Linked DNA regions of Mus musculus. The protein of the gene in region 1 purifies or fractionates together with the protein of each later gene. This does not show direct contact. Links are inferred from orthologs where the notes say so. Each region holds a gene or a part of one and is shown in the gene's direction. Other genes may lie near its edges. The genes, in order: Plod1 and Hnrnph2.

Region 1 (8,831 bases):
CTCAGCTCCCTCTTTACATTCAGGATGCCCTTCTGCACGAGAGAGGGTTCCTCCAGAGACAGTGAACGATGGCAGGCAGGGAGAAGGAATTTGCTGTTTTGGCAGTGGGGTGTGGGGCCCTCTTGGCTCCTCTTCAACCTTGCACCTCACTCCCAACAGCTGCAGCTGAACTACCTGGGCAACTACATTCCTCGATTCTGGACCTTCGAGACGGGCTGCACCGTGTGTGACGAGGGCCTACGGAGCCTCAAGGGCATTGGGGTGAGGCCTGGCGTGAGCTGAGGGGGGCAGTTGAGGGCAGTGCCATGAGATGGGGGAGAGGAGGAGGTGATCTTGAGTAGAATGGTGCTTTGGGGAGAGGTGAAAAGGTGTTTGTCTGTCTGTGGGTCACCCAAGCCCAGCTTTCCTCCTGATGTCCAAGTCTGCTTTCTTCTCCCTAGCCCTTTGTGCCCCATAGCCTCTTCCTATGCTGTGAGCCCTTACTTGCTGTTATGTATGGCCCAGCTTGAACACCACACCAGCCAGGACCTGGTGTCATGCTATCCATTGGCCTTGGTAGGACCCTGGGACCTCCTGTACGTTTCCTAAACAGGCCTCACCGTGTGTTCTGTCAGCCCCATGCCTGCATGGCCTGCTTTCCTCTGTGACCCGGGCATCTAGCCTCCTGAGGGCATGCGCCTCCACCTCAGTTTTCCTGGGGCTTGGTAGCAGGCAGTACCTAGACCCTGCTTGACTCTTGTGTTGTCCCTCCCTCTGCAGGATGAAGCTCTCCCCACTGTCCTGGTCGGTGTGTTCATTGAGCAGCCCACACCATTTCTATCCTTGTTTTTCCTGCGGCTGCTGCGCCTACGATACCCTCAGAAACAGATGCGGCTCTTCATTCACAACCAGGTGAGTGGGAGCTACCCTGGGGGGCTCCGCTCGAGGGCCCAGCCCTGTGAGCTGGCGTAAGACCTCTGAGGATCTCAGTGAGTCTGGGCCGAGTGGAAGTGGGCAGCAGGCTGTGTCCCTAAATCACTAGGTCAGGCGGACTGGGCTTGTAGCCTGGCAATATAGCTTTCCTTGGTTGTGTGACCTGGGGCATCAACCTTAAACTCTCTCCTTCTTTCTTCTCCTTTGTTAAATTGAGGTCAGAATTGTGGTAACCACATAGAATTGCTGCGGATATTAAAAACAGGTTACCCTCTGAAGTGCACAGAAGAGTAAGGGGGTCAGGAGGAGCTGGCTAGCTACTGAGAAGGCTGAGATGTGAGGTTTGTAAGTTCAAAGCCAGCCCTGGGCTACATAGTGAGCTTAGCCCTCTCCCATTTAAAAAAAAGAAAAAAAAAGTTTTATAAAGGGGTAGGTAACATAGCTACTTGCCTAGTGTGTGGGTTCTAAATATTTTGACTTTTAAAATTATGTGTATGTGTGTGCGCGTGTACACGTGAGAGAGGCGCCCGTGGAGGCCAGATGAGGGTGCTAGACTCCCTGAAGCTGGAGTTGTAGGTAGTTGTGAACCATCTGATGTGGGTGCTGAGGACCAAGCGCGGGTCTTCTGGGAAAGCAGCAAGCACACATTTATCTATCTATCTATCTATCTATCTATCTATCTATCTATCTATCTATCTATCTATCTATCTATCTATCTACCTACCTACCTACCTACCTACCTACCTACCTACCTACCTACCTACCTACCTACCTACCTATCTATTCTGAGACAGGGTTTTTTAATGTAGCCCTGGCTGTCCTGGAACTCACTCTGTAGACCAGGCTGGCTTTAAACTCAGAGATCCACCTGCTTCTGCCTCCTGAGTGCTGGGACTAAAGGTGTGCACCACCGCTCTCAGCTCAGCAAGTACTCTTAATGGATGAATAGTCAAGTCTCTCCAGTCCGGAGCCCCTAGGTTTTACCCATAATAGTAAGGGGGTCGGGGAAGGCTGCCATTCATTCACAGGAAGTGTGTAGTGGGTAACCTTGGGTCTTAGTCACCTGTTTGTTGCTGTGACAAAACACCATGACCAAGGCAACTTATGAGATAAATCATAAATGGATTGGGCTTATGATTCCAGAAGGTTGGAGTCCACGGTAGTGGAACAAAAGCCTGGAAGAGCCGAGAGTGCACATGTACAGCTGTGAGCAGCAGGGCAGTGTGAGAGAGTTGTAGGGAGGGCAGAAAGCCTCTGAAATCTCAAAGCCTGCCCCTGCCCCTGCCCCTGCCCCTGCCCCTGCCCCTGAAACACACCTCCTCCAACAAGGCCATGCCTCCTAATCCTTCCCAAACAGTTCCACCAACCCAGGACCAGCTATTCAAACACATGAGCCTATGGGGGCTGAGCTCATTCATTGACTGTTGTCACTTTTTGTTTGCTGCCTGCTTTGTGCTTCTGGGTTTGCTTTGATGACAGTCAAGTTGGGTTGCCGTTGCTTTAGCAGCTTCAGGGGACAGGGGACGTAGGTGCAAGTCCTGAGCCCTGAGCTCTGTGGAGAGCAGGCCTGGTGGCTCAGCACTCTTCTGGCTGGGTAAAGCCTCTTCTCGCCTCTGCTTTGATGTGTCTTTGACTGGCCACGTCTTATTTAGTCTATGGGGCCCTTTGTCCTCTCTGAGGTCCGCTCAGATGCCTTGTCTGTGTCTCTCCTGTATCTTCCAGTTGTAGCAAGATGCCTGATACCAGGGACCCACAGTCTCCCACGCAGCTTGGCTCCCTGCCCGACTTCCAATGTACATCAAGCCCCTACAGACAGAAAGGCAGTGGGACACGCAACCCAGGATGGCATGTGTAGATGATGATGTCATACCACAGTGTCAATAGGTTAGGCACCCCTACTTAGGTTTAGGACTAAAAATCCTGTTCTCCCCATGTCCCCAGGATAGGGGCCCCAGGTACAGACTGTCAGATATGCATACAGATCCCCTGGTACACTGGTTAACATGACACCCCAGAGATCATCAGAGTTTCTGGATGTGGGGTCTTTGGGAAGAGGGACTGTCCTGATGATGGAGCTGTGAAGAGGCCAGTGGGGCAGGGCCTGGGCGGGGTAGATGAGCATGAAAGGATCGCCAGAGAAGGACGCTCTGACAGAGATGCAGATGGCAGGAGTGTGTCAGAGACAGCATTCTCTGGCTAGTGACGGGGGTGCTGCGTCTCCATCTGCCCCTTGCCTCCTCACCACCCCAGGAACGGCACCACAAACTTCAGGTAGAGCAGTTCCTGGCGGAGCACGGCAGTGAGTACCAGTCTGTGAAGCTAGTGGGTCCTGAGGTGCGCATGGCCAACGCCGACGCCAGGAACATGGGCGCGTGAGTCACTCATGGGTTCTCTCCATTCGTGGTGGTGGGCGGATGGGCCATGGCGTTGGGAGCAGCAGGCTGGGAATTCACAAGGCTCTGTGGGCTCCAACATAGTCCTGACCCTGTCTGGGTTTCGGGGCTCTCCTCTGTGAAATGAGGAAGTAGCAACGTGGGGACCCCCAGACAGTGTCATGTGGGTTCAGGAAGCAAATTGGAGCAAGAGGAAAGGCTGGAGGGTCAGAAGTAGATCAGGAGTGACAGAGAAACAGTCTCTCATGGTTCGTTTTATTATTAGACCTACAGTGACTCAGTAAACGTGTTTACCTCCTGAGCCCGCCCACATGGCAATCGGAGAATAGCCCCGACTTCATAACGTTGTCCTCTGACCTTCATAAGCATGCTGTGGTGAACTCACACGCTAAATAATAATTAAAAAAGTAAATGAAACCGAACAGAGATGAAGACACAAGAATCCATTGGTGTAGGTTTAGTGACGTAGCTCAGTTGGTAGCGTGATTGCCTAGCGTCCGTGGTGACACTGTTTGATCCTCAGCACCACATAAATTGGCCATGGTAGCACACACCTGAACTCTCAGGCAGGAGGGTCAGGAGTCAAAGGTCATCCTCACTTCTAAAGCTGGCTTAAGGCCAGTTGGAACTCCGTGCTGTTTCAAAAAAGAAAAAAAAGAAGCTTCCTCTGTCTCAGTCTGGGGCCGGCAGACTTCCTTCGAACGTCCTGTAAAGTGCTGGATGGAAATCAGCTCTGCCGGCCAGCTTGGTGGACTTCCTCACCCTTGTTGAGCTGTCTGCCCGCGTAGCGTAAAGATGGCCACCGATGTGTAATGAATGAGTAAGATTGTGTTCCAGAAAGATTTTATTTAGGGACACTGAAATTTGACTTCCTCACAGGAAGGGGTAATTTTCTTTTGATTTTTTTTTTTTTACCCCCTCTCCTAGTCATTTAGAAACAGAAAACCATTCTGGGTGAAACGAACTTGGAGGTGGGAAGCCTCAGACCAAGGACCATTGCTTTCTGAGCCCTGGACTAGTTGAACAAAAGGGAGCTTTTCAGGAAGGTTTTTGGCATTTTTGAGGCAGGGTCTCATATAGCTCAGTCTGGCCTTGAACTCACCGTAGAGCCAAGGCTGCCCTTAAACTTCAGATTCTCCTGCCCCAAGTGCTGTTATTTACAGGTGTGTACTATCATACCCAGCGACATGCCTTTTTTTTTTTTTTAAATGTGGGGTTCTAGAAATAAGCCCAGGACCTCACACATACCAAGGAAGTGCTCTGCCGCTGCTGGGGACCCCACTTTCCATTGCTGCTAGTTGCTCAATTGCTCTCAAGACAGGCACCCACCGTTGAGCCCCGTCTGGTGGGCTGTTGCTTCCTCCAGATGAAGCCTTTGTCATTTCCAAGTCTTTAATCTGAGAGCTCGGATGCCTGTCAGAGTTGGGAGGGGGACCTTGAGGTCCCAGCCTGCTCATGAGTTCCCGTGAGTCCTACGGCCCTTTTCCCTTTTCCCAGTACACCATAAAGCCAAGCTATGCGGACAGATGTGTCATCTTCTGAGGGAGCTCTGGGACCAACATCTCCCTGCCTCTCCCCTTCCCCTTTTTTCCTCTCACAGAGACCTGTGCCGTCAGGACCAAACTTGCACCTACTACTTCAGTGTGGATGCTGATGTGGCTCTGACGGAGCCGAACAGCCTAAGGCTCCTGATTGAACAAAACAAGTAAGACCGTGGGTGGCCTCCTGAGCAAAGCCTACTCAGGCTGGGAGAGGCCCCTTGACTTTCTACTCCTTGGGGCTCCCAGCCTGACAACTTCAAAGGTTGATAGAATGGCACCTTCCTGGGTCTGTCCCCAGCACAGGAGGGATGGGCTGTTTCTGATGAGCCAGGCCTCCCCTACCCGAGAGATCCCGGTATGCAAATCACTGGTTGCTGGGCTCCTCCCCTTCCCCATCCTTAGTCTGGTCTGCCTGTACCCCCTACTCAGGAATGTCATTGCGCCACTCATGACCCGCCACGGGAGGCTCTGGTCCAACTTCTGGGGGGGTCTGAGTGCAGATGGGTACTACGCCCGCTCAGAGGACTACGTGGACATTGTGCAGGGCCGTCGTGTGTGAGTATCCAGTGCTTTCATCTTTTCTGGGTTTGTGGTGCCCCTCCCCTGCATGACTGCTCTGGGTGAGCTGAACCTCAAGGAAAGAGGACTAGAGTCAGACACACAGAAGGATTCCTGAAAGTTGTCGTGGGCTCCCATGCCCAGGGTGGGAGGGGGAGATCAGCACTGTTGAGTTTAGGATTTAACTCAGTAATAGAACGTTTGCAAGCCCCCCCCCACCCCCCCCCGTGTTCCGTCCCCAGTACCGAAACAAAAGAAAAAAGTCCGATTAGGTCTGGCAAGATGGCTGGCTCAGTGAGTTAGGGCACTTTTTGCCAAACGTGACAATGTGAGTTTGGTCTCCGAGCCCCACACGGTGGGAGGAGGGAACCAGTTCCCAAAAGTTGTCCTCTGAGCTCCACCCATGTCTTGTAGCTTATACATGCATAGCCACATGTATGTACACAAAATAAAAACATATAAAAAGAAAATGAATATCCACCAAATGAATACCCCCCCAAACACTGACTCAGGTTCAATAGACTCAACTCTTGATTCTCCTGCCTCAGTCTCTCAGGTTCTGAGATTACATATGTGTGCCAGCACACCGAGTTTATCTATAATTTGATACAGCCTTTTCTTCCAGGCTCTGGGCTCCCAGGCTTTGAGCCCTCAGCGAGCCTGTGATCCTGTCATCTCCTTCCTCTCTCTCAGTGGCGTCTGGAACGTGCCTTACATCTCAAACATCTACCTGATCAAGGGCAGTGCCCTGCGGGCTGAACTGCAGAACGTAGACCTTTTCCACTACAGCAAGCTGGATTCCGACATGAGTTTCTGCGCCAATGTCCGACAGCAGGTCAGTGGGGCTTGGGGCCGGGGTGGGGCTTGTACTTGTGCCAGGAGTGTGGTCCTCCAGCCATCTTGTCACTGTAGGAAGGAGCTTCTGAGGGCTCTGGGGTGAGGCTGGTCCTCCTGCCTCAGTCTCCCAGGTTCTGGGATTACAGACATGTGCCACCACACCCAGTTTATTTATTATTTTGATAGAGCCTAAAGAAAATCGAACTTCCCGCCTCGATGTAGTCTGGTAGTTATGTCCAAGAGACATTTATGTGTCGTCATATCTCGCCGCATATCTCTTTTTTTTGTTTTGTTTTTTGTTTTTTGCTTTTCTTTTGTTTTTTGTTTTTTCTTTTTTGCTTTTCTTTTTGTTTTTTGTCTTTCAAGACAGGGTTTCTCTGTGTAGCCCTGGCTGTCCTGGAACTCACTCTGTAGACCAGGCTGTCCTGGAACTCAGAAATCCTTGTGCCTCTGCCTCCCGAGTGCTGGGATTAAAGGCGTGTGCCACCACCGCTCGGCTTTTGTTTTTGGTGTGTGTGTGTGTGTGTGTGTCTGTGTGTGTCTATGTCTGTGTCTATGTGTGTATGAATGAGAGTGTGTATGTGTGTCTGTCTGTGTCTGTGTGTCTGTGAGTGTGTATGTGTCTGTCTGTGTGTCTGTCTGTGTCTTTGTGTGAGTGAGAGTGTGTGTGCATGTGTGTCTGTCTGTCTGTGTCTGTCTGTGTGTGTGAGAGTGAGTGTGTGTCTGTCTGTCTATGTATCTGTCTGTCTATCTGTCCGTGTCTGTGTGTTAGTCAGAGAGGGGGCAGTGTGGTGCACATATCCCATGGCGTGCATGTAGAGATGAGGAAACTTCATGGAGCTGGTTTTCGCCTTTTGCCTTGACACAGGTCCCAAGGATTCCACTTGGGTCTGTCAGACTTTTATCCTCGTCAGTCCTGGCTCATTGCTTTGATGTAACGGCTTGGTTAGGTTTTTCCCCTGTGATCAGCATGTCAGGATCACAGCCCTTGGGAGCGTTCTTGCCCTGTAGGCTCGAGGCTCTGGGCTCAATCCCCAGCGTGGCAAACAAGAAAAGGAGGAAGGGGGAGAGAAACCTTTTCTCGTCTCTTCAGTCCTCCAGGAAGCCTTCTCTGATTGCATCCCTGGGGTGGGGATGTGACGGGTGCTGGGAGCACATACTGTACTCACAGGTCTTTAATCTGGTTGAATCTGGCTGTGGGCACTGCATGCCCCGCCCCTCACCCTCTAGGGTGTGCAGAGTGAGGAAGCTTTTCTATCTATCAACTCTATAGGAGGTGTTCATGTTCCTGACCAACCGGCACACCTTTGGCCACCTGCTTTCCCTGGATAACTACCAGACCACCCACCTACATAATGATCTCTGGGAGGTGTTCAGCAACCCTGAGGTAAGACCTGGCTGGTTGGACGAGGGCTGGAACTCAGAGAGACTCCGGTTGGCAGATCTTGTCAACTGGAGACTGCATGACCTGTTCTCCACGAGTCCCCACTCACCTCCAGGGCTTTATTCTAGTATAGAGGGACACATTGCCACCTAGTGGAGCAGGGAGCTATGACTTAATTGAGCCCTTTGGTCATCCTTATTTTGGTTCTAAGATGGGTCTTCCCTGGCTTGGCTTACTCCTGAGGGTGTTGCCTTGATCAGAGGAAGCAGTAGTTGTGACAGTGTGTGACAGTACACACAAATGATGGGGTGTGTGGCTGACATGGGCACCTGTACATGCCTATACACAGACACAGAAGCACACACGTACGCATAAGTGCAGATGTGAGATCCTGTGTATCCCGGCAGCACTCCCACACCCAGCAGGCAGTGTAGTTGGCCTCTGACGAGGCCATACCTGCTCACATTTCGAGGAGCCTGAAAGCTGGAGACGCTTTAGGAGCCACCGGTGCCGTTACACTTGAGGTGGCCACAGCTGACCCAGGGCAGGCCTGGGAACCCAGTCTGTGTCGTGTTCTCTACAGGACTGGAAAGAAAAGTACATCCATGAGAATTACACCAAGGCCCTGGCGGGGAAGCTGGTGGAGACGGTAGGGGGTTCATAGCCCACACATGCTGCTGTGGGAGTACATGAGGGTGGAGATTCAATGTGTGTGTGTATTGTGCAGCGGGGGAGCCGTCTGTCTGTCTGCATGTCTGTCTGCCTGCCTGCCTGTCTGTCTGCTCCGACAGTGCCTGGGTGGATGGGCCTCTCTCCCAGCAGCGCTTTCCAGCTGAGGTCCGTAGATACTTTGACACCACCCACAATGGGCCCTCCCACCCTTGATTACTAACTGAGAAAATGCCTTACAGCTGCATATCATGGAGGCATTTCCTCAAGGGAGTCTCCTTTCTCTGTGATAACTCCAGCTTGTGTCAAGTTGACACATAAAACTAGCCAATACAGATGGAATGGAGGCAGAAGGACTGTCCCCAAACAGAGCCTCCGAGGCAAGAGTGAGGGATGGGGCTCTCTCTTCTCACTCACACCAGTAGTCTCTGCAAGGTGCACACACTCCCCAGGCTGATACTGGTAGCAGCGGCTGTAACCTTGGCTGGAAAGTCTGTCTGGTCTCTGTCTTTCTTCAGCCTCTCAATCAATCTAACA
Region 2 (3,382 bases), on another chromosome or scaffold:
TACACGTAATCAACCAATCCTTCTATGAACGTGCCTTCTATGTAGTCTATGTATCTGCACTTTGTTGAGGACACATAGTTCTCCTATAGAACTGTGATTCGTCCGTGGCAGAACTGTGGACTGAAGCTGGCTCCTAAAACTTGTTTAAATGTATATTAATGTCTTCCATTTATCTCTTAGGCTTTAGTACTTCTGTATTTTATTGACTTGTATTCATTCTTTATATTTTTAGGCTATTTAATGGATTTGTTGTATTGTCTCATGAGTTTTGTTTGTCTTTTGATTTAAAGAATATTTTCATTTTTCTATAATGGGATATAGTTGTACATTGTTATATTTAGTTTTAATTTTCTCTCTGTGATGTTAATACATTGGCTCAGTGCAGAAAATTTAGAATATTCGAAATTATCTAAAGGAAAAAAGTATCCATGGAAACAAAAAAAAATTCCTATAGTACTGTTACCCAGAAATAACCACTGTTAATTAGACCTGATACATAAGAGAAATGGTATAAGCACTCGCTAAGTGAATGGATTAAAAGTTTTATGCAGTCTTTGCTCATATGGCTCCTTTGAAAAACTTACTGATGTGAACTTGTAAAATAATAGTTTTCTTTGTTTCTCTTACTATATTATATACACTTTTTCATGACAATAGTTTTCTAATTTTTTTAAAGCCACATTGAATTTGCATTGAGCCAAGCTTGCCACCAAGAGTCCATCAGTCACCATGATGCTGAGCACAGAGGGCAGGGAGGGGTTCGTGGTGAAGGTCAGGGGCCTACCCTGGTCCTGCTCAGCCGAGGAAGTGATGCGCTTCTTCTCTGATTGCAAAATCCAAAATGGCACATCAGGTGTTCGTTTCATCTACACCAGAGAAGGCAGACCGAGTGGTGAAGCATTTGTCGAACTTGAATCTGAAGATGAAGTGAAATTGGCTTTAAAGAAAGACAGAGAAACCATGGGACACAGATATGTTGAAGTATTCAAATCCAACAGTGTTGAAATGGATTGGGTGTTAAAGCATACAGGTCCAAATAGTCCTGATACTGCCAATGATGGTTTTGTACGACTCAGAGGACTCCCATTTGGCTGTAGCAAGGAAGAAATTGTTCAGTTCTTTTCAGGGTTGGAAATTGTGCCAAATGGGATGACACTGCCAGTGGACTTTCAGGGGCGGAGCACAGGGGAAGCTTTTGTGCAGTTTGCTTCACAGGAGATAGCTGAGAAGGCCTTAAAGAAACACAAGGAAAGAATAGGGCATAGGTACATCGAAATCTTCAAGAGTAGCCGAGCTGAAGTCCGAACCCACTATGATCCACCTAGAAAGCTCATGACTATGCAGCGCCCGGGTCCTTACGATAGGCCAGGGGCTGGAAGAGGGTATAATAGCATTGGCAGAGGAGCCGGGTTTGAAAGAATGAGGCGGGGTGCCTATGGTGGAGGGTATGGAGGCTATGATGACTATGGAGGTTATAATGACGGGTATGGTTTTGGGTCTGATAGATTTGGAAGAGACCTAAACTACTGTTTCTCAGGAATGTCTGATCATAGATATGGAGATGGTGGGTCCAGTTTCCAGAGCACCACGGGGCACTGTGTACATATGAGGGGGTTACCATACAGAGCCACCGAGAATGATATTTACAATTTTTTCTCACCTCTTAATCCCATGAGAGTGCACATTGAAATAGGACCTGATGGAAGAGTTACTGGTGAGGCAGATGTTGAGTTTGCTACTCATGAAGACGCTGTGGCAGCTATGGCAAAAGATAAAGCAAATATGCAACACAGATATGTGGAGCTCTTCTTGAATTCTACCGCAGGGACAAGTGGAGGAGCTTATGATCATAGCTATGTAGAGCTCTTTTTGAATTCTACAGCAGGGGCAAGTGGTGGTGCTTACGGTAGCCAGATGATGGGAGGGATGGGTTTATCCAACCAGTCTAGTTATGGAGGTCCGGCCAGCCAGCAGCTGAGTGGTGGCTATGGAGGGGGTTATGGTGGTCAGAGCAGTATGAGTGGATATGACCAAGTTCTTCAGGAAAACTCAAGTGACTATCAGTCAAACCTTGCTTAGGAAGCAAGGGACCATCCAATAACATCTACATGAATAAAAGCTATCTTTATAGGAACTGGATAGAGTAGGGAGGGTGTCTTTATATCCAGTATGATTGGTAAATGGGAAGTACAACTGCTTCTGATCACTATTGGTCAGCTTCTTTCTTCTTTTTCCTTTTTTTTTTTTTAAAAAAAAGAACAAAAATTTAAGTTTTAACAGTTTCGCATTACAAGCTTGTGATTCATGCTTACTGTAAAGTGAAAGTTAAGATTGTTTTCAAACTTTAAGCTCAGCAATTTTGAACACTGAAAATATTCATCTAGGATGTAATAACAAGTTCAGTATTGACCATAACTGTCAACTCCCCTTTGAGCTTTCCTCAAGTTAGTTATGTTGTAGGAGTGTACTTAAGCAGCAAGCATATTTAGGTTTAAAGCAGTTTCACTTACGTTAAATGTTGCTCTTATACCACAATACATCGAAAACTTCAGATGCATGTTGAAAAACATGCTTTTCTGTAAAAAAAAATATATATAGGAGCTGTGTCTATGATTCAAAGTGACAACATTTGGCATGTTTGTTAATTCTAGCTTTTTGGTTTAATATCCTGTAAGGCACGTGAGTGTACACTTTCACTTTTTTTTTTAAAGATCCGGAACAATTTTGAGATGTGATACCAATACATTAGGAGTTTGGTCATGTTATTTGTATGGAATTCTGGGGCTTTGATTTAAACCTTACCTTGTATTGTGAATTCCATTTAGATGTATTGTACTAAGTGAAACTTGTTAAATAAATCTTCCTTTTAAAAACTGGAAAAATCTTGCATAGTTTGATTTTCTTTTTTAAAATCATGTTCTATTATATGGACACACAGTAACTGGCTTTTAAAGTTCTCTGCTGTTGAAATTTTAATTTTTTTCTCAAATATTCCAGGCTATGAATGACTCAAGTTTTGATCCTCCTGCCTCTACTTCCTAAGGATTAGAATTGCAGTCATACGTCACTGTCCAGTTTATGCAGTGCTGGAGAACAAACCCAGGGCTGCTTGCATACAAGACATGAACTGTACCAACAGAGCTATATTCATAGCCTAAATTTTGATTGTGTGTTGCTAGAGGGTAGAGAACAATATTGGATCTCCTTTTCTAAATGCCCTGCCTTATTGTCTTGGTGGTAATGGGGTCTTTCACTGAGCCTGCAACTAGGCTGGCAGCCAGGAAGTCCCAGTGATCTGCCACTGCTGTACACTGCACTGGGGTTATAATCACACTGATCTTACTGGGTCACACTTTGTGGGTGACCATGGCTGGGTTGTTAC

Evidence for each region.
Region 2: the proteins of Plod1 (region 1) and Hnrnph2 purify together in Homo sapiens (affinity purification with mass spectrometry; 3 studies listed by BioGRID and IntAct, counting the BioPlex papers as one, with this or other methods). This does not show direct contact. The link is inferred for Mus musculus from reciprocal best matches to the Homo sapiens genes PLOD1 and HNRNPH2.

The regions. Positions count from the first base shown.
Region 1 is NC_000070.6:147,917,577-147,926,407, reverse strand, and holds part of Plod1 (procollagen-lysine,2-oxoglutarate 5-dioxygenase 1 precursor), read left to right. Parts: intron 1-159; coding exon 160-261; intron 262-759; coding exon 760-891; intron 892-3,162; coding exon 3,163-3,284; intron 3,285-4,905; coding exon 4,906-5,010; intron 5,011-5,275; coding exon 5,276-5,401; intron 5,402-6,097; coding exon 6,098-6,239; intron 6,240-7,514; coding exon 7,515-7,628; intron 7,629-8,208; coding exon 8,209-8,274; intron 8,275-8,831. UniProt on the Homo sapiens protein: Part of a complex composed of PLOD1, P3H3 and P3H4 that catalyzes hydroxylation of lysine residues in collagen alpha chains and is required for normal assembly and cross-linkling of collagen fibrils.
Region 2 is NC_000086.7:134,604,179-134,607,560, forward strand, and holds the end of Hnrnph2 (heterogeneous nuclear ribonucleoprotein H2), read left to right. Parts: intron 1-676; 5' UTR 677-729; coding exon 730-2,079; 3' UTR 2,080-2,882; downstream 2,883-3,382. UniProt on the Homo sapiens protein: This protein is a component of the heterogeneous nuclear ribonucleoprotein (hnRNP) complexes which provide the substrate for the processing events that pre-mRNAs undergo before becoming functional, translatable mRNAs in the cytoplasm. Binds poly(RG).